Linked DNA regions of Daphnia pulex. The protein of the gene in region 1 purifies or fractionates together with the protein of each later gene. This does not show direct contact. Links are inferred from orthologs where the notes say so. Each region holds a gene or a part of one and is shown in the gene's direction. Other genes may lie near its edges. The genes, in order: ribonuclease P protein subunit p20-like, inhibitor of Bruton tyrosine kinase-like, ribonuclease P protein subunit p40-like, ribonucleases P/MRP protein subunit POP1-like and ribonuclease P protein subunit p30-like.

Region 1 (4,951 bases):
TGCAGTAAGATATTTTTTCACTGAATTGAGAGTAGTGTTTTGTTTGCCACTCCATATTAAGGCAAACTGATCAAGAATTAGACTTTTTTCGGAATGCTGCAATGTTCGATATAAATCACAGAAAACATGCGCTTTTTTCTAAAAAAAAAAATAAGAGAACATTAGTTTTATAAGATAATAAAAACTAAACTAAAAAACAAGAAAAACAATAAAACATGAAAAATTGAAAGTTTACCTCCACAACAAGACTACTGCTGTTTTTCGATTCTTGCAATTCCAATAAAGCTTTTGAAGCAAGCTCAAAAAGATCTTTTTGAATGAGAGTACTTGCTGTTTGGAAGCCTGGGTTTGATACCGAGTTGCTTGAAAAGGTGTTTACTTGTGTTAGTTGAATGTTGTTGAGACTCATCAACACAACATTGAGTTGGGTATTGAATGATGGATTCTTCATCAGATCACAGTTTCTTGCAGTTGATGCACTTGAAGTCAGTTGTGTCCGGCTTCTAAAGATTGCTAGCTTGGGATAAATCAAAGCTATGCGACTCATAACTGTTCCTTCCTGGTTCAAAGACGCTGCGCGAATGAGAAACATATAGAGCTAGTGGGCTTTATAAGGCGGGAGAACTTTGTAAACGTAGTCTCACGAGGTGTATACCTTTTTTTGGCCGACCTTGGAACCATATATTACGATGTAAGGTTTTGGCTGCAACTATTTTCCCAATATTCAAAACCATTCATGTACATTGAACCATGAATTTTACCTTTTAAGTTTCATCAAAAACAAGAGATAAATATTGGGATTTTCCGTTAACCAATGCAAGAGATAACTTTGAACGATGCAGCAGGATGCAGTATGATCAGCAGTTAGCACCCAAACAGACGTCATACACCCGCCCCCAGGGCCCAGACGTGTTTTCGTCGATTCATGTATGCTCACTTGCTTAGAGCCCGCCACTGCGCCACAGGTCATAGAGTGCGTTTGGATGGCTGCCAGACAGGCCTTTGACCAAGAATCCAAGATACGAGTTTGGGTTTTCCAAACTTTAGGCCAAATATTGATACTGCAAATTTACGTTAATTCCCAGCTGTTATCATTAAAAAAATAAATAAATATACATTTTTTTTGTTTTACCTGGATTAATTTTACCAAGCAAAAAAATCGAAAAAAGTATCTTTACTAGCGAACCTAGCGGAGATTAATAAGGCGTATACTCGCATAGGCATAGGCCTTTCATTGTACACTACGTATTCGTATTCTAATTTTTCTGAAGCTCGACTTTAACTGCGTGTATGTGATTTTGTAATCACGTGTGGATAGTATTAATACGGGTACAGTTAGCAATGCCATATTGTCTAATTTGACAATGTCAGAGGGGACGAACGATTCCGCGACAGGTGTCAGACAAGAGCAGGTACCAAACTCTAAAAAAATACGCTACGATCCAGAAGAATACAAACTGAGAAAACGATTGCCAGCTCGGCTTCCGTCACGATCAAACGACGTGTATGTCAACAATAAAACAGATTTCAAGGCTCAACTCGCTCGCTGTTTCAAATGTTTAGAAACTGAATCAAGTGTTCATATTCATGGTCTGGGAGCAGCAGCTCCTAAAGCAATAAATCTAGCGTTGCAAATCCAACTGAAATCAAACACTCCTCTAGAACTTTCAGTAAATACATCAACAGTTCACTTGATTGGTAATATCTTTGTTGTGTTTTGTAATACTATTATAAAATAATTGTGAATTTTTCAGATGACTTTGAGCCTCAATACGATTCTGGAGATTTCTACTCTAAAGAAAGGCAGAATTCTGCAGTCATCATTAAAGTTTACAAATTGTTGAACATGGACATGAATGGAAAATAAAATGTTTTTCTCCTTGAAAGAAACAACTCGCCTGCTGGGCCTTACTCCTATAGAGATATGGCTCCATATTGTTGGATTTACTGTATTCTCAATTTTTTTTGTATTGAAGGCTGAATCTGTTGTGACCTTTAACTGGTGGTTAGTGTTTTCTCCTTTATTTGCTGCTGATGGTGTACATTGCTATTTTGTTTATGTGGTGCTTTTAAGGATGCTTCTTGCAGGGATGTATAAGGCAGCTCCATTGAGAGCTTTGTGGAGCTGTACCATTCTTGGTTTACATTTTGCTTTCAAATTTCTTCTTTGCAAAAAACTGAATGGGCAGTTGTCAATGGATTATGCTGAGATTTTAGCCCCTGTTATGATTATGCTCCAACTCTTCATGATAAGGGCTTGTCAAATACACTGATGTGAAAATAATACTAAAGGACATTAAAATGTAATAATAATGTATGCCTTGTTTAGAAATTGTATGCAACAAAACTACACCAAAAATACAATTCAGATAAAAAACAAAGGAGAACATTACCAGTTAATACCTATAGTACTACCAGACTCCATGTATTTATTTCTTGAATTTGTTTTCAATTGATGAAGAACTTGATGTAAGATGTACAAATAGGATAGAAGCTGCAAAGCGAGATTGCACATTGAAGTTATCGACATCATGAGCCCACTCTACACGGCCCCACTGTCGAGTCTAAAGAGTTCAAAGTTAACACTGATAGCATTTATGAAAGTAAGAAAAACAAAATCTTAATACTTGAAAATTGGTTTCGAGAGTGGCCAACCGAACGCTTTCTTCCACAGTAAGATGTCGATCGACACAAGCAAGAGCTAAAATCAGCGATTTCACTGATTCTACAGCAAACATTAGCCCGTTAAGAGTCCAAAAATCATATGAGTGCAAATGCTTTTGAAGAACATCTCTTGCTTCTATGGGTAAACACGGACCGGTGATGGCACTTGAAGACTCAACATTCGTACCATATCTGTAAACGATGAAATTATTTATATTACATTGTCGGTTTTATTACTTATTTTTTTTTACAGACCTTTGATTAAACCAGTCAACCAATGGATCCCACTCTTTTGTTTGTTCAGATGACCATTCAGAGTTACCCTATTGTTTGCATTAAAATATGTTTTACAAAACTTATCAGTTTATCCTGTATAATATGTACTAAATCAAGTAATTACCTCTTCCCTGCACAAAAGTGTATCATTGTCTAGGTAGGTAAGAATGTGACTGACAATATCTTGTTTTCGTAATTTGTTTGGATTATCCAGGATAGTGTTAACAAGAGATGTCTATATTTGAAAGAAAACTTGTAAGCAAGATTGGTAAGCAATAAGAAAACTTTTACCATAACTCACAAGATGCATTGACGATACTAAAATTTTTTCTTCCTGGGCATCCCATTCATTAGCAACAGCTAGAGCTAATGGTTCACTGGAAACACGAAATACACTACCTGCAGGAGTTTTAAGTTTTCTATTGTCAAGAATGATTTCAAAATCTTTATTTGATTGGACAGTGCTGACTTTTTTGTAAAATCTTTTGCGAGTTTGAGAACCTGGAATAAAAAACATAGAACATTGTAATGTGCTGGAAAAAGAAGCAAATGTGTCTAAAAAAATAAATAATCATCGTAATTTGATTAACGAGGTGTAAAATGAAATACCCAAAGATGATTGATCTCCTGACGACAATTGAATGGATCGACTAGTAACACCGTTTCCAGCTCCTATTTGATTATTACCAAGTATTCTCAATAAATTAGAAGTGCCGGAGCCAAAACGTATTAAATTATTAGTTGAAAAAGACATTGTTGACGAGGTGACAAATGATTTCATCACCCACCAACAAGCAACAACCGGGTGCTTCGAACTGTAGCAGACCAAAACTGTTTTCAAACAGAAAAAAGGAAATGTGGGGTACTGGGTTTCAGCAACCAAGTTTTCAGCTAGTTTCTAGCTTTTGTTCAGCTACTAGAGATACAACAAATCTAACTTTGTAATTGGAATTTGGAACGTCCTTCAAATACTGGTTTCGAATTGTCGCAAGTATTTTCAAAGTGAGTAAAAAAAATCAACATGCCTTATTATAAATACTGTGTCATAACTCATAAGTCAATAAGTCATAACTCATGAGCAAAAGGTTCATATATTACTTCAGATCTACGAGTAAAGTAGACGTCATTTTTAGACTCCAACAATGGAACAAGACAATTAATTAAACGGCCACAAGTTTCATATATTTAGTCCAAATCTTCGGGGATACAGAAAAAAAAAATCCAGCAAAATAAAAACATGACGCATCAACTTCTTTGTTTTCCTTTTTCCGAAATGGATTATAGATTAAATGAGGTCAGCCACTGAAATTGATTAAAAACAAACACATTTAGAAAGAGTTAAAAAAAAACATGCTAAAAATATTTTACCATTCATGGGCATTTCGTCAACCTGTGTAGCATAGTACTGTTCGATATCGCGGAGAATACGGATATCGTCATTCTTGACAAAGTTAATTGCAACACCTTTACGTCCGAATCGGCCAGAACGACCGATACGATGGATGTACAACTCACGGTTGTTAGGGAGATCGTAGTTAATGACCAACGAAACTTGTTGAACATCAATACCACGAGCCCAAACGTCAGTTGTAATAAGAACTCGGCTAGAATAAACGAATAATTGTTATTACTCTGAATGGTTATATGGTAGACGAAAATTTCAATACCTCTGACCATTACGGAATTCTTTCATAATAGTATCACGCTCTTTTTGAGGCATGTCTCCGTGCATTGAAGAAACGGTAAAATTCGCTTCACGCATTTTCTCCGTCAACCAGTCAACCTAAAATCAATCTAACTGTGTTACATCGAAATCAACAATAGAAGAGATTTAATCGTGACTAACCTTGCGTTTAGTATTACAAAAAATAACCGCCTGCGTGATTGTCAGTGTGTCGTACAGATCGCACAACGTGTCAAACTTCCATTCTTCTCTTTCGACAGCGACAAAGAACTGTTTGATTCCTTCGAGTGTCAACTCATCACTAAACCACATAAAATAATTAGTAAT
Region 2 (6,299 bases), on another chromosome or scaffold:
GGCCCAAGGAGCTCAGCTTTCGGCAGCGGCATTAGATCTAGTTAAGCTGCACTCACGCATGGACGGACTTCTTCAAATAATTTTGCAAAGTCACACCTTACCCCGTGCTGAACTAGAAGCTTTAGTCTTCCCTAATGAGACTTTTAAGGAAGAGAGTTCAAATATTTCTGCTGAGCTGCCGAATCTGATCGAATTCTCGACAATGTCAGCTGATCTAGAAAATGATACTAATGAAACTGAAACTGACAATTCTCAAATGCCTGAACAAACACAGCCGATTCAGCGGCTTGTCGGAAGCACCAGCTTACAGGTAGTTTACAAAAATGCTGTTGTTGGATAAATTTGTATTTAATTTTTATACATTGCATTAGGATCTGAGTGACGCCATCAATCTCACTCGTCGTCGTCCACCTGAAGGCCGCGAAGAACCCAACCCAGTAATAGATGAAGAGTTGCGCTTAGCCGCTTCCCTGGTCGACCAAATCGAAGAAACCGATCATGTTCTGTCGAAGCTGTTGCGAGTTCTGCGGCGTTTGATTCTGGATAAAGATTCTACCATGCATCAACTAAATGACGAAAGGTAACAAACTTGCTTCATTTGTTTCTGTTATCAAAAATTTGTGAACCATAAAACATTTCTCTACAGAGAACAACTATTGGCAAGCCTTAACGCTCAGACTGTAGCTTTGCTCGAAGCTAAGGAAGAACTAAACAAACTACGGAAGGCAGGAGAAGAAGCTGAGCCGTTAACTATGGAAAAAGTCGTTGACTTAGGTTCCTACCGCTGGAATGATCTCTCTGCCCGGTTGGACGCTCAAGTGTGCTGGTCAAAATCCGTCTCGAAAGTGTTGGAAACGTTGCCAATCGATGTTTTACACGCCCACCCAGCTCTGCAGCACCTTTTACAGAATTTGGTTTCCAACGTAGACGAACACGATCCTAACGCAAATGGTTCCGGCTAAACATTTCCTAATCAACATCCAAGTATTATGAAAAAAAAAGCTCTTTTTTATTATTTCTTTCTCAAATTTTCCTTTCGCCAAGTAATAACTGACCGTTAAGGTTCAACAACAAAAGACGTATCTTTTTATGTTTTACATTTTGATGACTTGAAAAATAGAACGTGTGTGGTTATTTTTGGTCCAATTCCTTTTTTTTTCTCTTCAAATCTATACGCTATAAATCCCACTGACATCCCATAAAACAATAAATCGGTTGCACATACAGAAAAAGGACAGCAACTGAAGGCGACACTAGTAAAAAGAACAAAACAAAATATAGGGAAATTTCAACAATATAAGAACGATCATTTTGGGAGCATGCACGAAGTTGCATCTTTTGGACAGTTGGGATATTCTTTAAGCAACGAATCATTCAGATCAGCCTCTTGAGCACAGGCACAACGAATATTTTTGGAATCGGCTGAGTAGAGAGAGCGAGGAAATCCTACCCAGTCCCTTTTGATTCCACCGCTAACCAAGACAAAATGGCATCAGTTAATCACACACGTTCATTCATAACACATGTAGTAATTTTACCTCTTTGTCGAACACCACACGCGAGATCCTTCTTCTGGCTTGTATTCAATATTGCACATGGGAAACTTCTCTTTGAACAAGTCTTCATCTTCTTTGTGACTAGAGGCCTCTTTTATCCACTGTTGAGCATCATGATAATATTCGGTTGTTTTCCCATCAGCATCAAAGAATAATCCCTGAAGTTTACCTGAAGATAGAAAATATTACATAAACATGATAACAACAAAACTTTTGGACTAATTACTTACCAATGTATTCATAATCTTTTGTGTAGAAGTCCAACCAATCTCTAAGTCCTATATAATCTTGGCTTCCTAATCCAGTTATATCATCAATGAGTCCTTCTGGTTTAAAATCTCCAGTCACAAATGCTCGGGAACCATCAACTCCTACAAATACAACATTCAACAGTTATTGGCGACATAATATACAAGAGTACTAAATACATTTCATGTACTGTATAATACTTGCCACTAAAAAAAGCATAACCCCCTCCAGGTCCGTAAAAATCTCTTCCTCTGGTGACGTCATATACTCTACCCATAATGGCAAGGTAAATGTCACCCCCATTTTCTCCCTTGTAGTTCGCTAACTCTTCTTTTGTGAAGACACGTGTGGGCTCAACAGGTGCTGATGTTGGTTCTTTAAGTTGAGCATGATCAGAATGATCAGTTGAAGTAGTAGACCCTTTAGAACCATGGAACCATTTGAAGAAAGATACTAATGCAGGAAATTTTGCCGCAACATCGTGGAGATATTTGGTATTATTATGCAAAACATTTGGTTGAAACCAAGCGATCACAGATGCAAGGAGAAGTACGGCTAAGGATAACTTCAGTAACTTGTTCATCGTGGTTAGTTCCAATTCAGACTGCGTCTCGTTACTTATCTGACTTAAACCCTGATACAAGCACGAGGCTAGATAATTCCGCTATCCACTTACCGGCCGCAGGCAATTGATAACAAAATAAAAAATACTGAGATGTTTTGACGTCTCTGTTGTCTGCTGTTGTGACTTGGTGTCAAAAATTACGAATTGTAGTAGCTCGCACAAGTGACTACAGATGGCAGTGAAACCTTGTAAACAAAGAGTTCCGTCATCATATTTGGGAGAATTTTCGTCAAGTGAACACGAATAGTCAACAGTCGTAAGTCTCAACAAGATTGATCAAGATTCTAAAAACAAGCATTATATAGAGGCATACCCAGTTGTGAATATTAAGTAAAAAAAATCGTTTCAAAAAGTGACAGCTTATCCATTTCCCAAAGGTTAATTCCTAAACTGAATTGCATGTCTGACTAAAAGGCTATTCATTTAAACATAATTCTATTGTTGAGATAGAACATATAACATATATTTGATCATCAACAGCATTAAACATGTGGGAAGAATGCACAACAAAATGTTCTTCAAGAAAACATGCAGATAGCATATTTTCAGTTTTCATCGCTGCTGGTGATGAATTTGAGGATATGGTTATGAAACTTTTACCAACCTGCTGTAACATAGCCAGCAATAAAGACTCATCAGGAAGAACTGCTTTACAAGTTGCAGCTTCACTCGGGAAAATGAAAATTCTGCATTGGCTATTTTCTCATGATGTCTATGTCAATGCTAAAGATGAAGAGTCTGGGTACTCTGCCTTACATAGAACTTTTTATTATGGGCAATTACAAGCTGCAAGAGCTTTGCTGCACAATAATGCTAGCTTATTTCATCCATTAGATAATGACTATATGTCTCCATTTGACCATTTAATTCAAGACAGATCCGATTTGAATAAACTTGATGCTAATCTCCCATCTCAAGTACATGTGTGGGGATCAAACTCAAATTTTGGTAAGATGCAATTTTTTTTTAAATAAATTTAAAAAAAATCAATATTCATTCCTATTCTTTTTCTACAGGACTTGGAAAGCAACAAAGTCCAGAATTACCAGAATTATTGGATATTTTTCCTAAAGGAAGTGGTGGCATTAAGAAGGTGGTTATGAACAAATTCCACTCAGTGTTTCTGACATTATCAGGCCAAGCTTTTTCCTGTGGAATTGGCCAAGGAGGCAAACTAGGACTTGGTTCAGAAGCCACTGTTATAATTCCACAGAAAATCAGCATAGATGCTGAAAACTCTTCAAACAGCAAAGTGAAAAAGTCTGCAGTTATCCTGGAGGCAGTTTTGGGAACATATCATACAATCCTTTTAACTGAAGGTGGAAATGTAAGTTGGTTGATTATACATTATTTACGAAAATGGCATTTATTTATCAAATATTTTTCAATCTACAAGGTTTTGTCCTTTGGCAGCAATATGTATCATCAAGTAAGTTTTACGCAGTTATAAACATAATAATCCGTTAACTTATCCATTTATTTTGCCTCCTTCAGCTAGGCCACAATCCTCCTCCGAATCAACTAGTCGCCCCTAAAGTTATTACCCGGTTTGAAGACAAAAGCAAAGGAGTCATTATCAAGGGTATTTCTGCAAGCCGCTTTCATTCGGTGTTTTGGTGTCAACGTAATGTGTACACTTGTGGGCTTAACGCTGGAGCGCTTGGGCATATCAAAGGGGATAAAACCGTCATTACGCCTAAACGAGTATACATTCATTTCAAATATCTGCTTGAGTTGTGAAATGGAATTAATTGCATTTAATTCAGGTTCCACTCTTATCTGAAGAAAATTACACAATCACTCACGTAGCAGCATCTGATGGTGCAACTGCAATCGCCACAGAAGGTGGAAACGTCTTTGTGTTGCATGAGTTTCAGTGTCGCAAAATCGCTTCAAAGTACTTTTACAATTAATTTCGGTGACGTTCATATATCCAAACAAGGATTTTTCTCCTTAGGCAATATGATTTATTGAAAATAGTCATGGAAGGAGGTAAATTGGATTTTTCTCAAGAAGATTTGGCAGCTGATACAAGCGTTCCATTTCAGGTAAAATTGCCATATTAGTTTTCGGCATATTTATACAACTTTAAACTGATTCCATTTTGAACGCGTTCAGGTTCTTCTTTTAACGAAGAGTGGAAAAATATATATCTGGTCACAAACACATCCGGTGCTTACAAAGTATGTGAAAGATGTTGAAGTAATAATTTCGCTGATTAATTTGCTCGTCGCAAAATTTTTAGATGTGCTTTTCGCGGTAGCCCGTTTTGCATTATAAAGGATGTTTCACTTTGCAAAAATGCCATTGTACTTGTCAACATAGAAGGTGGAGCTTTTGTTGGTACGATTGGGAAAAGGTTCGTTAGCAAACGCAAAACAGAAGCTCATTGTGCTACTCAAGAAAATGTCTCACGAATAGAGCTTCATAAGCAGGAACATTTGATTCGAATTCAAATTCAGAGAATACCTGGAGTTTATCGTGCGACAAGTATTGTGTGTGATCCAGCTGGTAAAAACTTTGCTGTAATTCAGGTAAGTGCTTGCAAATTTTCATCTTTCTTGCACTTAATTTCCGTGTTTTTCTTAGATTCTTCCTAGCGCTGAAATGAAAGATGCTCAGATTTGCATTCCTCCTTCCCAATTGCAAACGGATTTGAAACAACTTCTTCAGGATGCTGATCCTTATGATCTAACACATGATATCGTTTTTCTTGTGGGATCAAAAACGTTTGCTGCGCATCGTTTTGTTTTGTCTGCAAGTTGCAACGCTTTCTACCAGAATGTCTGTGCTTCATCATTATCTTTTAAAAATGATAACAAAACTGTCCACATCACCGACGTCCCAGCAGAAGTTTTTGAATTAATATTGGAATTTATATACACTGGCACTTGTGCCATCTTCGAAACTGAAGCCGTCAAGTGGAATCTAAAGTTACCTTTGGAGGAACCTTTGGATAAGGACAACTATGCGGAAGATCTTCCTAGCGCCGTAGAGCTGAAAAGAGTAAAAGGCGAGGAATGGAAGTCAAATGAACGAGATGGATTGTCACGTGTCCTTCGAATGGTACAATTTCATGCGAAAAATGTAGGACTTCGAAAACTGGCGGAAATATTGGACAAGGTAATAATTATTTCTCATTGAACATTTCAGTCTCAGTTTTATTGCGTATCTCAAATACTTGCATTTAAATTTAGGCCCACATTGCAAATACTGGTTTGATTCGCAATGATCGCTTATACCTTCAACCGAAACAATGGAATCGGTTTTCCGGAGACGATTTCTATGATACTAAGATTGTTAGTAACGACGGTAAAGAGTTTGATGCACATCGCGCTGTTTTGATTGCTCGGTCGGATTATTTCCGAAGTATGTTCAGCTACGCCTGGATTGAGGTGAATAACTTATCGACGTTGTAATTCGAATTTTTTTTTAAATTTTCTTCCTTTGTAGAGCGTAGTTTCGAAAAAGATCCCCCTTCCTATTCATTCATTGGTTCTCGAAGTTATTTTAGACTACTTTTACGAAGATAAAGCTTCAAAGGTGGAAAAATCAGAAGATGTGGAATGGATAAGCAATTGCTTGGTATCGGCCGATCTCCTTCTGATTCCTCGTTTGGTTTCAATATGCGAATCAGCACTTGTTGGATTACTTTCAATAAAGAACGTTGGGAAAGTTCTTGATTTTGCAGCAGAGTATAACGCTACTCAGCTGAAAATTTCATGCATGCATTTTGTATGTTGCAATCTACCAGCCGTGATTGAACTGAGGTATCTTTACGTTTTATGTTAAAATGCAATATACTAAATTATGCGTGTTTTATATTTGGATCCATAGAGTATGGAATTGCCTTAGTGAAGAAGTCATGA
Region 3 (5,632 bases), on another chromosome or scaffold:
AGCAGGATTCTTGTAGTCCGACAATGTTGCAATCCGCCATCTTAATAAAACCACACCCTTTTTTTACATGGGCTCTTATGGGAGTATTTTTTCAAAGTGCTTTTTCTCTTACCTGGATTACAACTTCGACCAAAGAAAAATATGGAAAAATACTACATCATTCAGGTAATCCGTAGAATGTAAGTTTTCCACTATTGAAGTAGTGGAAGTCATATTAATTAAATGTTTTGTATAGGGCATATGGGCATTGTTTACATATGTAGGACCAAAACATGTATAGTATACTTACAATTTTTAACATTTTCCCACTGAAACACTTGGTAATTGATTTTTCCTTATTATTTAGATTGTCGTGTGTGTGTGTGTGTCAATTTTACACTGAAACACGATACGGAAAACAAGTTAATGTTGCGAATTGGAGATTTTGAACTGGAGATTTTGTTGCATCTGCCATTGCTGTGTGATTGTGAAGACAAAAACGTTCCATATGTCATATGTGTTTGTCCGTTCAAAGCAAGGTAATTTTATAAAATTATTAGTTTAGATGTGCTATAATAAACTCATTCTTTATTTAGCACTTGGACGTGCTTGTGGAGTCTCCCGTTCTGTTATTGCAGCTTGTTCTGTGACTGTACATGAGGGATCATAACCGAAACCACAGATTCAGTCTTTACAACAAGAAATTGAAAAACTTCTCGTTTGATCTCTCTTGAGGGACAATGCTGTGCTTGAAAATACAATTGCCATTTGGCTGTTCATTGCCTAACATCTCATCTTTTACATTAATCTATCAGGTTCTCCATTCCATTTTGTAGATTTTGATATAGAATGTGCATTTCAATCCACAACAAATATGTACAGCATATCGGATTGTTGTTAAAACTATTACATTCAAGAGTTAACCCATAGAGTTCCTTCTGTGTGAATTATTAGACGTGCACTACTTGTTTAATACAATTTTTAAATGTTTATTAAGCAGAACTTGAGAAGAGATTAGGATAAAAGACAAGGCCTCTAACAGTATCATCTCTACAAATCAATCCATTTCTTTCCATGAAATAAAGACGTTCTTGTGCCAACACAATCGATATTTGGAATTCCTGTGAAACCTCCAATGCTGTGAGTTTATCCCTAGCCTGTAACTAAAAAAATTTGAATATGTTAGGATTGCATTAAAGAAAAAGTAATGAATTTCAATAGAAGTATCAATTTGGCTGTGGGTTTAATAACTGTTATATTCATGTGCAACAGCCAGGACCTAGATCAGAAACAGCAATTGAGTTGAAAGTGTCGACCTCAGAATAATGAGAATATGAAATCATTAAAAATACATATCAACACGATACTGGCTATTCAATCAGGAGATCAGCCCATTAATGAGCTCTTAAAATTGATCGCAGGGCGCAGAAAAGAAGAAGGACACCCTTTGACAACACACTTGTGATAAAACCAACTTTGAAATTTTAGGGGATGCCCTGTACAAAACATTTAATTAATATGACTTCCACTACTTCAATAGTGGAAAACTTACATTCTACGGATTACCTGAATGATGTAGTATTTTTCCATATTTTTCTTTGGTCGAAGTTGTAATCCAGGTAAGAGAAAAAGCACTTTGAAAAAATACTCCCATAAGAGCCCATGTAAAAAAAGGGTGTGGTTTTATTAAGATGGCGGATTGCAACATTGTCGGACTACAAGAATCCTGCTATCCGCACGGTGCAAGAGGTCTATCAATTCTGAATATTCTGATTTCTGAATTATTAAAAGTCTGGGTAAGTAATTATTGAGTAATCTCTATGGAAAATAAGATTAATGGGTTAAATACTTATAAAAAGGAAGAGATTTTTGTGGGAGCTCGGAGGGTGTTTAAAGGAAAAGCAAGCTTAGCGGGTACAGTATTTTCTTTTTGTAGACCTTTTCCAGATGATTCTGATTAATGCAATTATCGTAATGCAGCAAATTGATCACTAAATTGAATGCTTACATAGTGGTCGTTATTCATTATGCTACAAATATTCGGTTAATCTATTGTATCGTACAAAATCTTCCAGAGTTCCAGACTTCATTAGAAAATCATTAGAAAATTATGAATTTTCCACGTAACTTCTTCTTTGGCCCTCTTTATTCATTGCCTAGGTATTTTATATCATTATTATAATATAGTCGACTTAGATAGTTTAAATAAACCGCGTAATGATAGTGACGCCATCTATAAGCTTTGAGATAAACTATCGATAACTAAAAACGTTTTCGCTAGATGGAGTAGGAACTGACTAAAATAGTAAACAAAACAATTACAAACCACACCGGATCGAAAACTTCTTCTTTTTTCGTTGGAATTAACTTTCAAATACTTCCTGAAATGTACAATCCAGAGGTAATAAATTTTCCTCCACCAAAATCCTTGAAACAAACATGCACATGGAAGAAAGACCAAATACTTAATAAAGTGCCTTCCCAAGACCTAGGAAATCATTTTCATGGGGTAAGAGTGAAACTTCAATAACTTTTTACATTATTCTAATAGAGGAGTATTCTTGTTACAGATTACTGCAATCTTGTCTGGGGAAATTACTGAAATAGCTGAAATTCAAGACTTCTTTTTAGACTCAACATTTTACAGAGTTAACAAATTCCCCGTTCATAAGTTGCTGGACCCTGATTTTCTCTCTGCATTTGTTAAAAAAGGACATTTTGATGCCAGAACTTTAGGAACATGGGGTGAAGTTGATCAGAGTATTGTTGTTGAATCAGGCAAACTTCATCTTTCTGTCTGCAAAGATGTGTATCAAGAGCTAGGGTTAAGTGGCCAAGCAGAGGTAATTTCATCCAAAAAGTGTCCTGCTAAATACGGTAACTTAATTATTCACTGTAAATTTTTTCAGTTTGTTAACATTGTATTTGGTTTTCGTAGACATTTCTGTTAATCTTCTTGATGATAAGTTTTCCCCTGATTCTAAATACTACAAAAGAGTTAGTTGGTGTTTACAAAATCAGACAAGTCTACAATTTGATTGGATCATGAATTGGCATCCACACGGTAAGGCTTTTCTTAATAGTGGAAATTGTATCAAGCGTTGACTAATAATAATGTTTTTACCACAGATTCTGACATCTGCCCATCTTCCCTTGCTGCTTACCTCGACTTGCTTGGCTTTCAGGTAGTTCAGTGTCTGCCATCCTTTGAAGAAAGAATTTTAAATCAAGTAAAGGTTCCACTGCTATGCACTGAAACAGACATTTCAGATGTTGTTGAATGGGTTGGAGCTGCTGCATTGAATATCACATGGTAACTAGATATGCTTTTAGAGTAAACTGAGATATTACATTCTTTGTTTTATTTATCTAAGTCCTGACCAAGAAGATTACACTTCTTCAATGACATGCCCAGAGCCCAGTTATAAATCTGAAAAGGTTCACATCTTGAAATGGAAAGGATTTTTTTCTGCAAGACAGGCAAAAGAGTTACTCGGCGTGATTTTGAAATTGCGACCAGAAGCAACAGAAAACTCTGTTCAATCATGGCTTAATCTCACTCTCATTGGATTTGATGAATTCCAAATAGGTGTGTTTTATTGGCAATCATGTTAATTTCACATATTAATTTATTTTTAATTTTCAGCATCAAGTATTTGCTCGGTTTTTACAACGGCATCGGACAACTGCCAAGTCTTTACAAACCAGACATCTAGAAGGAAAATCAAATGAATTCAATTCGACTTTTGTTATTTCATCTTCTGTAAAAACACATCTGAATAAATTAAGTCAGATACTGGATCGATTAAAACAAAAAATTAATCTTTTATATCTGTACCTCATAGTTGCTTACACATGCAACTGCACTCCGGTATCACTCGAGTTTTGCCATTACAAAAAGGAGGGAAAGAAATGTAATAGCCATGTCCTCAAACAGCCTAAAATTCTGTGTCGCAAAACAATTTTTTCATAGCATTACTTAATGATTAGAACTTAAAATTGCGTATTGTTTATGTTTAAGGACTGAATACGTTTTTAAAAGAAATCAAGCTTTACACAGCTGCAAAAAACGCGGAAACTAGTTATTTCTACCGCAAATTTTTACAAAGAACGTTTTCACTGAACGACGACTGTGTATACTAATAATGACATACCTTTGACAAAAAGAGGGCCATGAGTCAACAGCTCAGTAGGAAATTCAATCAACAGCTGTCGGTGCACTGCTGCGAAATACCTTGAAATAAAACCACAAAAGAAAAATATTTACCACATGATTATTCGTAACAGAAGTTTCGAATCCTCTCAGACCGCACCAGTCTCGTATGGAGTTTGTTCCTTTCAAGGAGATACACCAGCTGCAACTGTGTAAAACGCAACCAAGTCAATATGTTTACGAAAAATTGAATGATTTAGTCAAAGAGCCTTTTAAACCCATAGCGAATCCTTGTCGCTAAATCAGTTGGGAAAACGGAACCTTCCGACTTGGGGCCATCGCAAAATGGCTCCACTATCGACAGCGTTATTCTATATACTAATTTTGTCTTTTACCTGGTCGAGTTGCGCAGCTAAACTCACGTTAGAAGAAGAATTACAGCAACTGAAGGAAAGCTATGTAATAAATCAAAAATGTTTTATTTAATTAAATTTCATTTAGGTTAGCTTTAATGTTAAAACTATTTAAATTGCAAGGTTCACCTAAAGCAACTTATGGATATCAAAATTGTTCAACTAGAAGCTAAAGATGCTCAGTTAGAAGAACTTTTGAGACTAAAAGACCAGAAACATGTAAGTCATCGCTTTCACTGTTAAACCGGATATTAACGAACTATAAAGATTGTAAATCTAAAGCAAGGAATTGGGAATGCTCCTTCAATCAACAGTCAATTAACCCCAAGTAACGCTACTATGAGACAAGGACTAGCAACAAAAATGCCCACTTCCTGCTTGGATCTTAAAAGTCTAGGACACCAATTCAATGGAGTGTACTCGGTAATGGGAGCTAAGTATGTCGAAACAGTCTACTGCGACTTTTCCAAATTAACTTTCGATCCCAGTAAGTTCATCCTCTGATATAATACTTTGATTTGCTCAAAAGAAGGAGCATTGGAATGACTTTTATGATTTAATTAATATAGGTTTTGAAACGCGAATTGGATTTTCTGATATCAAATCTACACCGACTTACTTCTTTGTCAGGAGAAACAAGAACGATGTTTTCAGTCAAGCAAATACAACAATTATATTCGACGAAGAACTAGTAAATGTGGGCGGAGCTATGAATACATCAACGGGGAAATTCACGGCAACGACAACAGGGACTTACTTTTTCAACCTGAACGGATTGGCGTGGTTTCCGGAATCTTCTTATAGACTACTCCTCTACATTGCGCTGAAGTTAAATGGCAAGGACATCACATATTGTCACGCTAATGCGTTCGCCCTAAGAGGCACATGGAGAACCTTTTCTCTGCCATCAACGCTGAGGTTGAAAAAGGGCGACCAAATTTGGTTTGAAATTAATCAACTCTCCACCGGTATCTATCTAAATGGTAGGGGTTACACTCATTTTACCGGTGGACTACTAGAGGAGGAAGTATTTGCGTCACTATAAATGGTCTGCTTTTCAATTGCTGAAACTGGAAATATATTCGAA
Region 4 (6,404 bases), on another chromosome or scaffold:
TCATACGAACATACAGTAATATCTAGAAAAATATTTTTTATGATGCACGAACACATATTTAAAAGATAGTACGTACTTCTCCAAAGCCTGTATAAAATCGGATTGTTTTTGTTATTCTTGTTAATAAAAGTCGACAAGAATATGGTTAAAGTGGTTAAGAAATCTTTTTCTTTAAGTAAATGGTGGCCCTGAAAAGGGCCGATTGGATTGAGTCGGAGTTTAAATAATAAATCAGAATCAAATTTAACCGCCGAAACCGTACAGAGTGCGGCCCTGGCGTTTCAGTGCGTAGACGACGTCCATGGCCGTCACCGTCTTCCTCTTGGCGTGTTCAGTGTAGGTGACGGCGTCACGAATCACGTTCTCAAGGAACACCTTCAACACACCACGGGTCTCCTCGTAGATGAGACCAGAGATTCGCTTGACACCACCACGACGGGCAAGACGACGGATGGCCGGCTTGGTGATTCCCTGGATGTTGTCACGCAAAACTTTGCGATGACGTTTGGCGCCTCCCTTGCCGAGTCCTTTACCTCCTTTGCCGCGACCAGTCATTTTTTTAAATGAGTTTCAGAGAGAGTACAAGAACAAACTGAATGTCGAATGCTTCCACCAGGGCCCCTTTATATACTAATCGATCCGGTGGGAAATCCATCCGCATTGGTTGAGCTTAACAGCCACCCCAACTCAGGTCAACAAAGCCCAAGCTTTGTATTCCTCAACTTCCCTCCCATTTTACCCAACAACCAATTGCTGAAAAAGAGATCCCATACATTCCTCAACGTCTCCCTGGACCCCTATATAAACCCATCATCCCCCCACTGTTTCCTTATCTCAACTTTCAGTCGTTCGACATGGCCCGTACCAAGCAGACCGCTCGTAAATCCACCGGTGGCAAGGCGCCCCGCAAACAGTTGGCCACCAAAGCCGCTCGCAAAAGTGCCCCGGCCACAGGAGGAGTCAAGAAACCCCATCGTTACCGTCCCGGCACCGTCGCCCTTCGTGAGATCCGTCGCTACCAAAAGTCGACCGAGCTTCTGATCCGCAAGTTGCCATTCCAGCGCTTGGTCAGAGAAATCGCCCAGGATTTCAAGACCGACTTGCGTTTCCAGAGCTCGGCCGTCATGGCTCTGCAGGAGGCCAGCGAGGCTTACTTGGTGGGTCTTTTCGAAGACACCAACTTGTGCGCCATTCACGCCAAGCGAGTCACCATCATGCCTAAAGACATCCAGCTCGCTCGCCGTATTCGTGGTGAACGTGCCTAAGCGACTTTTAAAATCCCTTTTGACTTACCAATCGGCCCTTTTCAGGGCCACCATTTACTAAAGAAGAAGATTACCAATCAACCATTGTTTTCATTACTATATTCTTGTAAATCTTTCTTACCGTCACACATTGATGTGAATGGCCTAAAATAAAGAATACTCTACTCATCACTAACCACGGTTTCTTTCTAAATGCCAGAATTTCACAAGCATAACCTTTTCGATGGTTTCAATGTGCAATGGAAAACTTCTAAATTTTGGTAAACAAGGAAAGATATTGAATCATGCCCTATTTTAGAACTGCACCCAAATAAGTAAAGCCCAAACCATGTAAACAGATTAGACTACAAATTAGTATCATGGGAAACTGAAAACTTTGAACCAACCTGGTTTGCAAACAAAATCAGGCAGTCGGTTTATCCTTGCGGTCCTCAGCACTTATCTTTCAATCCTAACACTTCATTTAAATTCACAACCACATTCCAAATCCCTAATTATTTGTTTTAATAATCAATAATCCTCCCCCCCCCAAAAAAAAAAATGAGAAACAAGAACATAGACAACAATCAAAATCTATATATGCAGACGACCTAGTAAACAAAACAAGCCACCTGTTGGCCAACAGTTGGAAAATCTTCTTTCTAGACGGTGCGACCAGCGACCTCCCAAAACTTAATATGTAGAAGCGGAACGGAATTCTCTTCCCGCTTTAACACAAATGGAAAACAAATTATGTAAGAGAGATTTAACCTTTACAACAAATTGTTTCATTTAGTACTTGATCTGAGAGTAAATGATTCAGTTCTGATTTCTCTGAGGTCAGCGGTCTGAAAAGACTCTACTTCTCAATGGATTCCGAACTCCCGTCTTCGGACGGCACATTTATTGATTCAAAAATTTCCATTACTCTTTATTGAAGCCCCGGAAGGTGATTTACTGTGTTATGTGTGATGTGAATGTGATAACTACTAAAAAAGTGAATATGAAAATGAAAACGCCGCTCTAACCCATATCGTGATCACTTCAAATAAAACAACAGAGTAAGTCAGTAGTTCTGTGGTTCTGGTAAATTGGTAATAATAGCATTTGAAAAATAGAAAAAAATTGAAGATTGAATCTGCGTAGAATTGTAATGGAAAGTTTGGCAACGAGATTACGAGATTGACCGATTACCACAGCAGACGAAAACGACAACAAGTTAGTTGACACGTGAGTTAGAGCATGTGATGTTGATGTTCAAAATTTCAAACTTTATTTGAATTAATCACCGTTGCTTACTAGAAAAGTAAAAATCACCTTTTGTAAGATGACTGACGAAAGAAACAAAATGACGCAAAATGTTCCTTCTGATTTATCAGTCGTTCGATTTTCTTCTGTTAGAGCCCAGGAAATTGTTGCTCTCACAAAAATGATAGGTGAGTTTCCCCCCTCCCCAAAAAAAGAGTTGTCCTATCAACATTTGCTAACATGTTGTTTGCCTTAAGAAAATCCACAATGCACCAAATTACTTTTTCAAAAACTGCCATGTCATATGCGAAGAAGAGCAATGAGCCATAACCCAAACAGAATGCCAAGAACCTTAAGGGAAGCCCACAAGGCCCAAGTAAGTCTGCTTATAAAAGTATAGCTCCACACTGAATAAACTCTATATTTATGTGGATTTAGATGGCAAAGAGTGGTCCAGCAACCCAGCCTAAGAGGCCTAGAAGGAAATATAGACGCAGACCAAGCAGATTGCTGGAAGAGTATAAAAAGCGATCTAGTAAAGTCTCTTGGCTAGAAACACACCTGTGGCATGCCAAAAGGTTTGTTTCCATTTGTAGGTTATGTTAAGGACATGTTACTACTTTTTACCATTTAGGTTTCACATGGTAATCAAGTGGGGACATCGTCTTCCTGAAAGATCTTGCGCTCGCAGTCACAGATTCTGCTACCGTTCAGTAGCTCAACATTGCCTGCTAATGGTATCAATTCAAAATATTAATGATTTACGTAATTATTAATTGCCTCTTTTTGTTCAAAGGACATATCGTACTTGTGTTGCGTTGAAATTCAAGGTCCACAGGATGAGATCGTTCGAGGCCTTATCTCTCTCTGTGATCCTAAAACTGGCCCAACGTTTGGTGCGTCTACTTTCCTTAATGGCACTCGTGAAGGAAGAGTGATCATTTTCAAGCGAAATCAGTTTTCGAGCGGCCCCATCGGCTTGGTTACGTTTTTGTGGTGCAATACAGGGAATCCGGATATGCGAACCTTGTGGATATGGAGCCATCCAGCTTTCTACCAACAGTTTCTGTGTGAGCTGAATTCTATTTTCGAATCCGATTCCGACTTATTATGCAAGCCTCCTGGAGTCAAGATTACCTTAAACAAAGGAAAGCTAAATCGGTTCAGATTAAGAGGGCCCTTTGCACATTCAGTTGTATCGTCGTTATTCGACAAAGAAACTAGGAGCGCGTCAAGTTTATCACAATCACCTGGGTTTGTCACCAGTGTTGAAGTCAGAGATCCTCGAATGATACTCGCACAAACCCGAATCAAAGCGTCCAGTTCCACGGTAGGTAACTGTGAACTTGTAGGATTGAGCCAAAGTAAATTGTGGGATGCCAGCGTTCGAGATCAAATTACCAATATGCGAACAAGTTTACCCGATCACGTCATCAATAACCGTCGTAGTGAATTACTTGTTCCTGGCACCGAGTTACCCGTCCAGCCAGAAGAAATCCCCATTCCAATCCTCATTGTGAATGCATCTCACGAGAGCAGCGGTAAGTAAATACATTTCTTTTATTATGTAATTTTTTTTTACCTTTTTTTTTCCTTTCAAGATTTTGTTCCTGGCTGTGACGTCATTTTGCCGGCTGGATGGGCTACAGCTTTCTGGCTTGCACTGATCTATAGTGGAGGGCACGCTGGAGGTTTGAAAGATGCGGGAAGCATGAATTTTGAATACGGAATTTGTCGGGATCTCTGCTTAGAAATCGACAGTGAAGCAGGAAAAGCCACTGCCGTTGACAGAAAAATGAATTTGATGGAAGAATACTTTCGTAGACCACCTAAAACAAGAACCAACTTCATCAAATTAGCCACACCTTTTCCGTTCTGCGTCGATTGGGATCGCCTTACAATCGACTGGATCGGTCAGTCTGAGTCAGGTTTCACTGTATTACGTGACAAGAAGCTCCTAAGTGGATTGTGTCAAAAGAATAGGATTGTGCTACCCGAAATCTTATTATCTCAACCTTATTTAGTGCCCGTGACAGTTCGAGTTAAACACGGGTCACCTCAGGAATTTTCAATGATCTGTTTACCGGGAGCCGATGATAAAGTTAATTCAGTAATTAACGAGCCTATTCACCAAGATCCCTGCGCCAAAGAACGGAAAATGTTACGCCAACAGCACAGTTCCCTTCTGAAGAGTCTTGCGAAAAAGAGGAAAGAATTCCGGGATAAAGATGGAACCATTGGGGACTTCTCCAGCGCCACTGCAATTGCTGTTCACAAAGAAAAGACTCGCTCGTTATGGCTGCCTTCTTCCTGCAATTTAAAAACTTCATTCGCCAGGCCGATCATTGGATTTGTCACTCAAGGAGATTTCGGTCTTAGCGAAGGAAAAGGAATTGGTCGTGGATATATAGTCATTCGTGCCATTTCACAAATACCTTTGTCTCTTGTGTTGGTTCGAAATCCTGGAACTAATTTGTACATGTGGGCTGAAATTACAATGGAGTAAAATACATTGACAAACTAATTGAAGTTATCACAAGTTATTTTATGTGTAATGTAGAACATCAATTCTTGGTTACAATAGTACATTACCCATAGCGAGATTGTATTGGTAATGGTATAATGGATGAAAGTGAAAGCAGAACATCAAATTATTTTATTTCTTTCCAACCATTCCTTTCTTCCCACGTTTAGGCATGACTTCCTCACTATCCGAATCGTCTTCATCGTTGCTTTCTTTCTTTTGCTTTCTCGTTTTAGTGGTACGTTCTTTAGACGCTTTACCCCCGTACTTGGCCTCGAGAGCACTGAAGAAATTGTCAGCTGATGCGGCTCTGTCCGTGTTCCTTTTCTGAATTAAAGCTCGAAGACTGTCTTCGCTTCTAAGAAGATTTAGTTATCAATTATAAAATATGTTAATAAAGTGAAACTTATACAGAAACTTAAAAAGAATAAAAATTTGTTACCCATCATTCTTCAGTCCCAATTCTTCAGCCATTTTTTCTGCCATTTTAGCTTCGCGATCAGCCTTCTTCTTCCTGGCGACTTGCTTTTTCTTGGATTCTGAAGTAAAGGCTTTATAGCCAGTAACCTCATCGTTGTCAACCATCTTCTGGATAATTTCTCGTATTCTAGGTTCATCATCGGCAGTAGCACACATAACTGAACTCATGATCATGTCCATATCTCCCTACAAATTAGTTTATGATTAATTTTGTTATTGTTATGGTCAAAGCATTAGTCATTCAAAATGTAAGCCTGCAATTACCTCGTAACGCTCATAAAGCTGTTTAACATCTGTAGTTTCTTCTTCTGAGCCTTTGTATTTATTTTCAAATTCTGTAATATCTTGCTCTGTTACTTTTTTGAAAAGAAACCTCCAATAGTCTTCCCAATTCTGGTCACCCTTTGAAAAATCATCGTCATCAACACAGCCTTTAAATAAAACTTTTATTAGTTACAAGAGCTATTAGTGTAATAATTTCTACTTGCCTGTTTCATCGTATATCTTCCTTTTTTCTTTGTCACTCAAGATTGAGTAGACTTTACCAAGAGTTTGAAACTTTTCTGTTGCATTTTCTTTGTCTTCTTCGCCGACTCTGTCAGGATGAACCTTTAGGGACTTCTTGTAGTAAGCCCTTTTCACTACATTTTTTTAATCATAAGAAGTGGAAAAGGTATTTACATTAGCAATACCATTTCAAGTTGTATATTTCTATCTTTGCCAATGCCTACCTGCTGCTTCATCCACATCTTTTTCTACTCCCAACACTTCATAAAGAGAAGAGCAGTTAAAATGTTTATCACACAATTCAGTTAAGCTTGTCATGATAAATGCAAGATAAATATCACTGCCAAATACTGTAATTCAGATTTACAATTATTAAATAAAAGTTTTCACGAGGACTGCAG
Region 5 (5,034 bases), about 2.4 Mb from region 1:
TGAGGATACACGAGCCCGTCTCAGGTATTGAATTACAGTGTTCTAAGAAAACCACGAAAGATTTACTTGACTCATTTATGAATAGGAATAAAGAAAAAGAGTTAGACGACGCAGAAGAAATACGACAAAAGGACATAGCAGTGTACAAGCAGCAAATAAAATGCCTGCTTCATGAACACCAGACAACTTTGGCTGAATCGCGGGTTTAGTTTTACTTTTAAATAAAGTTGAATGAAAACAATAACTAAATTCTTTGTTATATAGAACGAGCAACAAACTGCTTTAGAGCAAGCTCATTTGGAACATCAGGAGCAAGAGCAAATACTGCGTCTAGAACAGCAGCGTTTAAAAGAGGAAATACGTCAGCTTAGTCTTCAACAGCAACTTACGGTCGATAAGATCAAATTGGAGCACTCGAAAAAAATGAGCGAGATGCGTAAAAGTCTAGAGCACGAAGCTAGACAACTTGAGCTCAAGTTCCAAAATCAGACGGAAGCGCAAAGGAACGAACTAGAAAAGCGAAGGAGGAGCGATTTGCAAGATGTTGATACAAAAGATCAACAGCATTTGGCCGTACTGAAAATCAATCACGAGCAGGCAATAATAAATCTGAAAAACTACTTCAACGATATCATTCTCAACAACATGACACTTATCACCTCTATGAAGGTAAAACATACTGTTGTTTTTGTAGAATCGTAATCGTAAAATTGAGTATCCTAATGGCCAGGAACAATTGTCCGAATTTCGTGTTAAAGAAGAAAGATTGGAGAAGCAGTTTCATAGGACTGATAGAGAAATAAAGCACCTTCGTGAAAAATGCGAGCAATTGGAGAGAAGTAACAAAGAATTGCAGAAAGACACAGAAAACTGGCTGCACGCTAAAACTTCTCTTCAAGTATTCTAACGTTACAAGCATTTTCTACAAAGGAAACAAATTGTAAAATTGTCTTACCTTTTAGGCGGCAAAGGGTCACGCTAAAACAATGTCTAAGCAGCTTGAAGAAGCAGTATGGCAACGTGAAGTAGCTGAGCAGCGTTTAGCGCGAACTAAAACTGAACGAGATGAGTTGGAAGAAAACTTTATGGCTGCCATACTGGAGGTGCAACAGAAAGCTAATTTGAAGCAACTCGTTCTAGAGAAAAAATTGTAAAATAATTCATTAGATATGAGAAAACAGATAACAGCTTCTAATTTGTTGGATTTCAGAGAATCTTTACAAGAAACTCTCAAGTGTAAGGACAATGCTTTGAAGCAATTTACCTCGCACGGTCCGGGTTCAAACGGTGATGGGGGTACAAATGCGTCTGGCGAGACTGTAGTAATTTCCACACTTTCACTCACACTTTTAATCAGCAAATTGTTAATTCACATTTTCTATCTGTACAGTCATCGTCTTTGAGAGAAGGGAGGAAACAGACAGTGGTTAAAATGAATTTTGAGGCACCACACCACGAGGAGCTTCCAGATAAATCATTTCAATCTTCCAATGAAAGTTTAGCAGCTGTTGAAGAAAGAATCAGCATCAAATCTGGTTCTGTCAAATCAGTTGTAGGTTCAACAAAGTCTACATCAGCAGTTCTGGACATCAATGGTGCTGGTGTTGGAACCAGCACTCAACGAAAACTAAAAACAGCCAACTGAACAAAAACAGAACAATCTACTTCAATTTAATTACTTCACATTTTAATTGTTATATTGTTTCTTAGTGTTCTAACTGTTTAAAAACACCGAAATCAAGCGTGATTTTCCTTTAACAAGTGTCTGTCAAGTTGGTAAACAAATAAATTTGCGTCGCTAGAGGGACAGAAATTCGTCTGCTTGATTCACATGCTTGCTTCGTTTGTGATTTGTGATTTTGTTTCAAAGCACGTGACTGAATTATCAAAAGATTTTCGAATATATAAAACAATGAACACTGTGCAAGGTTTCTGTGATTTCAATATCCCATGTCCATGCAGTCCTACTACAACACTTAAAGAAGTCGTGTTGAGAGCTGTCAAACGTAAATGAATTAGTTAAAATCCTGCCCTATTTCGTCGTTTTCACCTGTTCTGTTTTCTTTCAGTTGGTTATAGTGCCATAGCTATTAACACAACAATAGAAGAAGATGTTTTAATCAACACCAAGAAAAAAGGGAACAAGAAAAATGAAGTAAAGGAAGAGAAAAAAGATGTTCCACCTCCTCTAAAACTTAAATTCACCGAAGAAGAGTTGAACTTATTTAAAGTATTGTAAAATGAAACTATGGATTTGATTTTATATTCAAATTTACCTCTTACTTTAGGTCCATGGGAAGAATGTTAAAATCTTACATCGGTTGACTGTCATGCTCAGTGACCCTGTGAATACACAGAAACTTGTGAGTACTCCATATAAATGCACTTTATTTGGGAATTACTGATAAGCATTTTGTGTTTCTCAAAAGATCCAATCGGGGAATACCAAAAAATCTGATTTGATAGCTGTCTGCCCAACAACTACGGCTGCTTTTCTAGTATTTTATTTTTATCTTTATGATTGAAATCAATTTTATTTAATTATTTTTTTTAATAGCATGCAGCAGCCAACATGGATATAGACATAATCACCTACCATCCGACTGAAACCAAAGAATTGCTGAGATTCACCAGAAAACATTATCGCCAAGCTACTGACAGAGGAATATTTTTTGAGATTCCCTATTCACATATGCTTAGAGATTCGTCAAATAGGAAAAAGATTATCCAGATTTCACATTTGTACCATACAGTTGGCAAATCCCGGGTGAGATTTATCTATTTCAAATTCAGAATGACCAAATTTTACTATTTGTGTTTTGGAGCCTTAGTTGTTTATTACTATATATATTCAACTCTTCCTGTAGAACGTCATAATCAGTAGTGGAGCTCTTACACCATTAGAACTTCGCAATCCTTACGACGTAGCGAATTTGTAAGGAACACATTGTTGATACTGCTTATTAACGAGACTAAATAAGTCATTGCATATTTTAGAGGATTACTTCTTGGATTAAGTGAAGGAGAAGCTAGATCTGCTTTAAATTTGAGTGGACGATCCGTTGCACTTCATGCTGGTATATATTCCCTATAAATTTCTGCATTTAACTTTACACTTTTACATTTTTCATTCGGGAATTTCCAGTGACTCGAAAAACAGGAAAATGTGTCAGCTTTATTGCTGAAACTGACAAGTTGGATCCAGAGGAACAATGGAAAGCTAAGGAAATAACTGACGCGGAAGAAAGACTTGCGGGAGAACCAGAGCCCAAAAAGATGAAAATGGAAACTGCTTAGTTTAATAGTCAAAAAACGAAATTCGACAACATCTTGCACTTACTTGTATTCCATTTTGATCAATAGATTATGGCTGAACTACATAAGAACAGAAAATTTGAAGTTACAGCTGCTTTTGCGGAGGGCTTTACATGTTGCAATTATAGATCGATGTATCGCACGTCATAGACATTCACACTTTCATGCAAACAAAATGTTGCCCTAGGTATAGAGAGCCTAAAAGCTACCTACACAACATTAAATCTTAATAATCTTCTCGTTTTTGAAAGATCTTTAATTTCATATTAGCACTTCAGGTATTATATTGAATGACAATCAAAATTAAGGATATGTCAAGTTCTCTGTCACAAAATCTAAAACGGTGCTGCTTAGAAAGTACTCAATCAAATGAATGAATAAATTTTGTGTGTATAAAATAACTCAACTTTGTCCCTTTTGTCATACGAGGAGACGTGAACAGTTGGACGTAAAAAGTTTTCAGATTCTTGGAAGATCTAGAAGTTCAGGACCTGTGGGCTGCATGCGGTCAAATAAGTGAGGAAGAAAGAATACAATGAATCATAAAAATCGCTTGAAATTTAATTGGCAATGAATTCGTTTTGTTATTGGTTTTTTGTCTAGTAGACCCATGAGACGGGGACCCATTGATGCTGGTTGGAAAGAATTTCCAATGCTTCAACCACTTTGCGAAAAGTTTGATCGGGATCTTCATTAATAATAATCTGATCAAAATATTTCTCGTAAATTCGCTGAATACGAGCACTCTCTTCCAAGGCGTTTTTGAAATCCTCTTCCTGTAGAGCAAAATTTGAAATAATTAAATTGATTGGGGACAAACTAGATTATACGACATGCAAAACATGTACGAAAATAAACCTCGTATAAAGATGTCAGGGATTCGAGAGTACGTGCTCTTCTCGAACTGAAACGAATGGAACTGGAACGATCGAACTAGTTAAACCAAAAGGGGGAAAATGGGGTAAGTTACACAAACATAAACACATTTAGAAAACAGAAAAAAAAAAATAGAATTCTAACCGTTCCCAAATTCCGGCTGGAATATCGGGAGTTCTCGTAAAGACTTTTCAACTGGTCCATTCCAGGTGCAGCTAAAAAGATGACATAAGGCATGAACTCTGGTGAATTGTGTAGAGTTTTTAATGCCTACATGAAATGCAGAGATAATAGAGCTTTGCTATGGTGTTAATTAGTCAATATGTTATTAAAGAAATATTACGTTCGGGCTGCAGTCAAGAACGCACATTTTGCCCTGGCGGATTACGGCGCGGATGGTATCTAACTTTGTGCCATAGATATGATTGTTGTGCTCTCCAAATTCGAGAAACTGATGATCACGGACGTCGTGTTCCATTTCTTCGCGCGAGACGAACCAGTAGCCCATACCATCCTCCTCCAATTCACGCATCGGCCGGGACGTGTCTACAAATACAACATGTTTAATCCGTGCGTATAAATGCAATCTGCGATATGAAGAAAATTTTTACGAGGCATGGTGGTTCCAAACCGATCAGGATCACTGTTGATCAGCCGGTTCTTTAATGTACGTCGCCCGATGCCTTCCGATCCTACCAGTACCAAAGTCTTCCGACGAAACGGTGGCATGCGAGTAACCTCTTCGTAAAGGAGTAGCTCGGCTTTATCCAAATCAACACTTGATTTGATTTGGTACATCAACTTTTTTTTCTTTTTTGAGATCTGTTAATGGTTGTAAATATT

Evidence for each region.
Region 2: the proteins of ribonuclease P protein subunit p20-like (region 1) and inhibitor of Bruton tyrosine kinase-like purify together in Homo sapiens (affinity purification with mass spectrometry; 3 studies listed by BioGRID and IntAct, with this or other methods). This does not show direct contact. The link is inferred for Daphnia pulex from reciprocal best matches to the Homo sapiens genes POP7 and IBTK.
Region 3: the proteins of ribonuclease P protein subunit p20-like (region 1) and ribonuclease P protein subunit p40-like purify together in Homo sapiens (co-immunoprecipitation; 4 studies listed by BioGRID and IntAct, with this or other methods). This does not show direct contact. The link is inferred for Daphnia pulex from reciprocal best matches to the Homo sapiens genes POP7 and RPP40.
Region 4: the proteins of ribonuclease P protein subunit p20-like (region 1) and ribonucleases P/MRP protein subunit POP1-like purify together in Homo sapiens (affinity purification with mass spectrometry; 3 studies listed by BioGRID and IntAct, with this or other methods). This does not show direct contact. The link is inferred for Daphnia pulex from reciprocal best matches to the Homo sapiens genes POP7 and POP1.
Region 5: the proteins of ribonuclease P protein subunit p20-like (region 1) and ribonuclease P protein subunit p30-like purify together in Homo sapiens (co-immunoprecipitation; 4 studies listed by BioGRID and IntAct, counting the BioPlex papers as one, with this or other methods). This does not show direct contact. The link is inferred for Daphnia pulex from reciprocal best matches to the Homo sapiens genes POP7 and RPP30.

The regions. Positions count from the first base shown.
Region 1 is NC_060018.1:3,380,702-3,385,652, forward strand, and holds ribonuclease P protein subunit p20-like, read left to right. Parts: upstream 1-1,181; 5' UTR 1,182-1,364; coding exon 1,365-1,698; intron 1,699-1,754; coding exon 1,755-1,867; 3' UTR 1,868-2,284; downstream 2,285-4,951. Other genes in the region: malonyl-CoA decarboxylase, mitochondrial-like, read right to left, coding at 1-138, 236-573, 656-734; ATP synthase mitochondrial F1 complex assembly factor 2-like, read right to left, coding at 2,430-2,564, 2,628-2,856, 2,920-2,987, 3,065-3,175, 3,242-3,441, 3,550-3,721; eukaryotic initiation factor 4A-III, read right to left, coding at 4,226-4,242, 4,309-4,544, 4,608-4,723, 4,787-4,925. UniProt on the Homo sapiens protein: Component of ribonuclease P, a ribonucleoprotein complex that generates mature tRNA molecules by cleaving their 5'-ends. Also a component of the MRP ribonuclease complex, which cleaves pre-rRNA sequences.
Region 2 is NC_060022.1:2,496,545-2,502,843, reverse strand, and holds the start of inhibitor of Bruton tyrosine kinase-like, read left to right. Parts: upstream 1-2,564; 5' UTR 2,565-2,918; coding exon 2,919-3,378; intron 3,379-3,446; coding exon 3,447-3,757; intron 3,758-3,826; coding exon 3,827-3,859; intron 3,860-3,924; coding exon 3,925-4,134; intron 4,135-4,196; coding exon 4,197-4,327; intron 4,328-4,387; coding exon 4,388-4,478; intron 4,479-4,548; coding exon 4,549-4,613; intron 4,614-4,675; coding exon 4,676-4,964; intron 4,965-5,019; coding exon 5,020-5,553; intron 5,554-5,627; coding exon 5,628-5,825; intron 5,826-5,883; coding exon 5,884-6,200; intron 6,201-6,267; coding exon 6,268-6,299. Other genes in the region: FYVE and coiled-coil domain-containing protein 1-like, read left to right, coding at 1-310, 372-580, 647-962; neuferricin-like, read right to left, coding at 1,307-1,472, 1,539-1,725, 1,787-1,927, 2,010-2,388. UniProt on the Homo sapiens protein: Acts as an inhibitor of BTK tyrosine kinase activity, thereby playing a role in B-cell development. Down-regulates BTK kinase activity, leading to interference with BTK-mediated calcium mobilization and NF-kappa-B-driven transcription.
Region 3 is NC_060026.1:1,154,390-1,160,021, forward strand, and holds ribonuclease P protein subunit p40-like, read left to right. Parts: upstream 1-2,264; 5' UTR 2,265-2,365; coding exon 2,366-2,488; intron 2,489-2,549; coding exon 2,550-2,856; intron 2,857-2,917; coding exon 2,918-3,043; intron 3,044-3,108; coding exon 3,109-3,292; intron 3,293-3,353; coding exon 3,354-3,568; exon of another isoform or gene 3,569-3,625; coding exon 3,626-3,711; 3' UTR 3,712-3,780; downstream 3,781-5,632. Other genes in the region: uncharacterized protein LOC124204677, read left to right, coding at 24-165, 236-274, 347-518, 576-639. UniProt on the Homo sapiens protein: Component of ribonuclease P, a ribonucleoprotein complex that generates mature tRNA molecules by cleaving their 5'-ends. Also a component of the MRP ribonuclease complex, which cleaves pre-rRNA sequences.
Region 4 is NC_060026.1:2,973,494-2,979,897, reverse strand, and holds ribonucleases P/MRP protein subunit POP1-like, read left to right. Parts: upstream 1-2,432; 5' UTR 2,433-2,474; intron 2,475-2,546; 5' UTR 2,547-2,571; coding exon 2,572-2,680; intron 2,681-2,749; coding exon 2,750-2,868; intron 2,869-2,930; coding exon 2,931-3,070; intron 3,071-3,126; coding exon 3,127-3,229; intron 3,230-3,288; coding exon 3,289-4,033; intron 4,034-4,093; coding exon 4,094-4,998; 3' UTR 4,999-5,021; downstream 5,022-6,404. Other genes in the region: histone H4, read right to left, coding at 244-555; histone H3, read left to right, coding at 855-1,265; dnaJ homolog subfamily C member 9-like, read right to left, coding at 5,149-5,374, 5,459-5,682, 5,761-5,927, 5,985-6,137, 6,228-6,321. UniProt on the Homo sapiens protein: Component of ribonuclease P, a ribonucleoprotein complex that generates mature tRNA molecules by cleaving their 5'-ends. Also a component of the MRP ribonuclease complex, which cleaves pre-rRNA sequences.
Region 5 is NC_060018.1:995,016-1,000,049, reverse strand, and holds ribonuclease P protein subunit p30-like, read left to right. Parts: upstream 1-2,330; coding exon 2,331-2,363; intron 2,364-2,429; coding exon 2,430-2,498; intron 2,499-2,557; coding exon 2,558-2,767; intron 2,768-2,867; coding exon 2,868-2,935; intron 2,936-2,997; coding exon 2,998-3,077; intron 3,078-3,145; coding exon 3,146-3,297; downstream 3,298-5,034. Other genes in the region: dynein regulatory complex subunit 4-like, read left to right, coding at 1-24, 86-203, 265-669, 731-898, 963-1,150, 1,211-1,322, 1,391-1,645; uncharacterized protein LOC124188900, read right to left, coding at 3,915-4,091, 4,174-4,248, 4,336-4,461, 4,535-4,737, 4,803-5,013. UniProt on the Homo sapiens protein: Component of ribonuclease P, a ribonucleoprotein complex that generates mature tRNA molecules by cleaving their 5'-ends. Also a component of the MRP ribonuclease complex, which cleaves pre-rRNA sequences.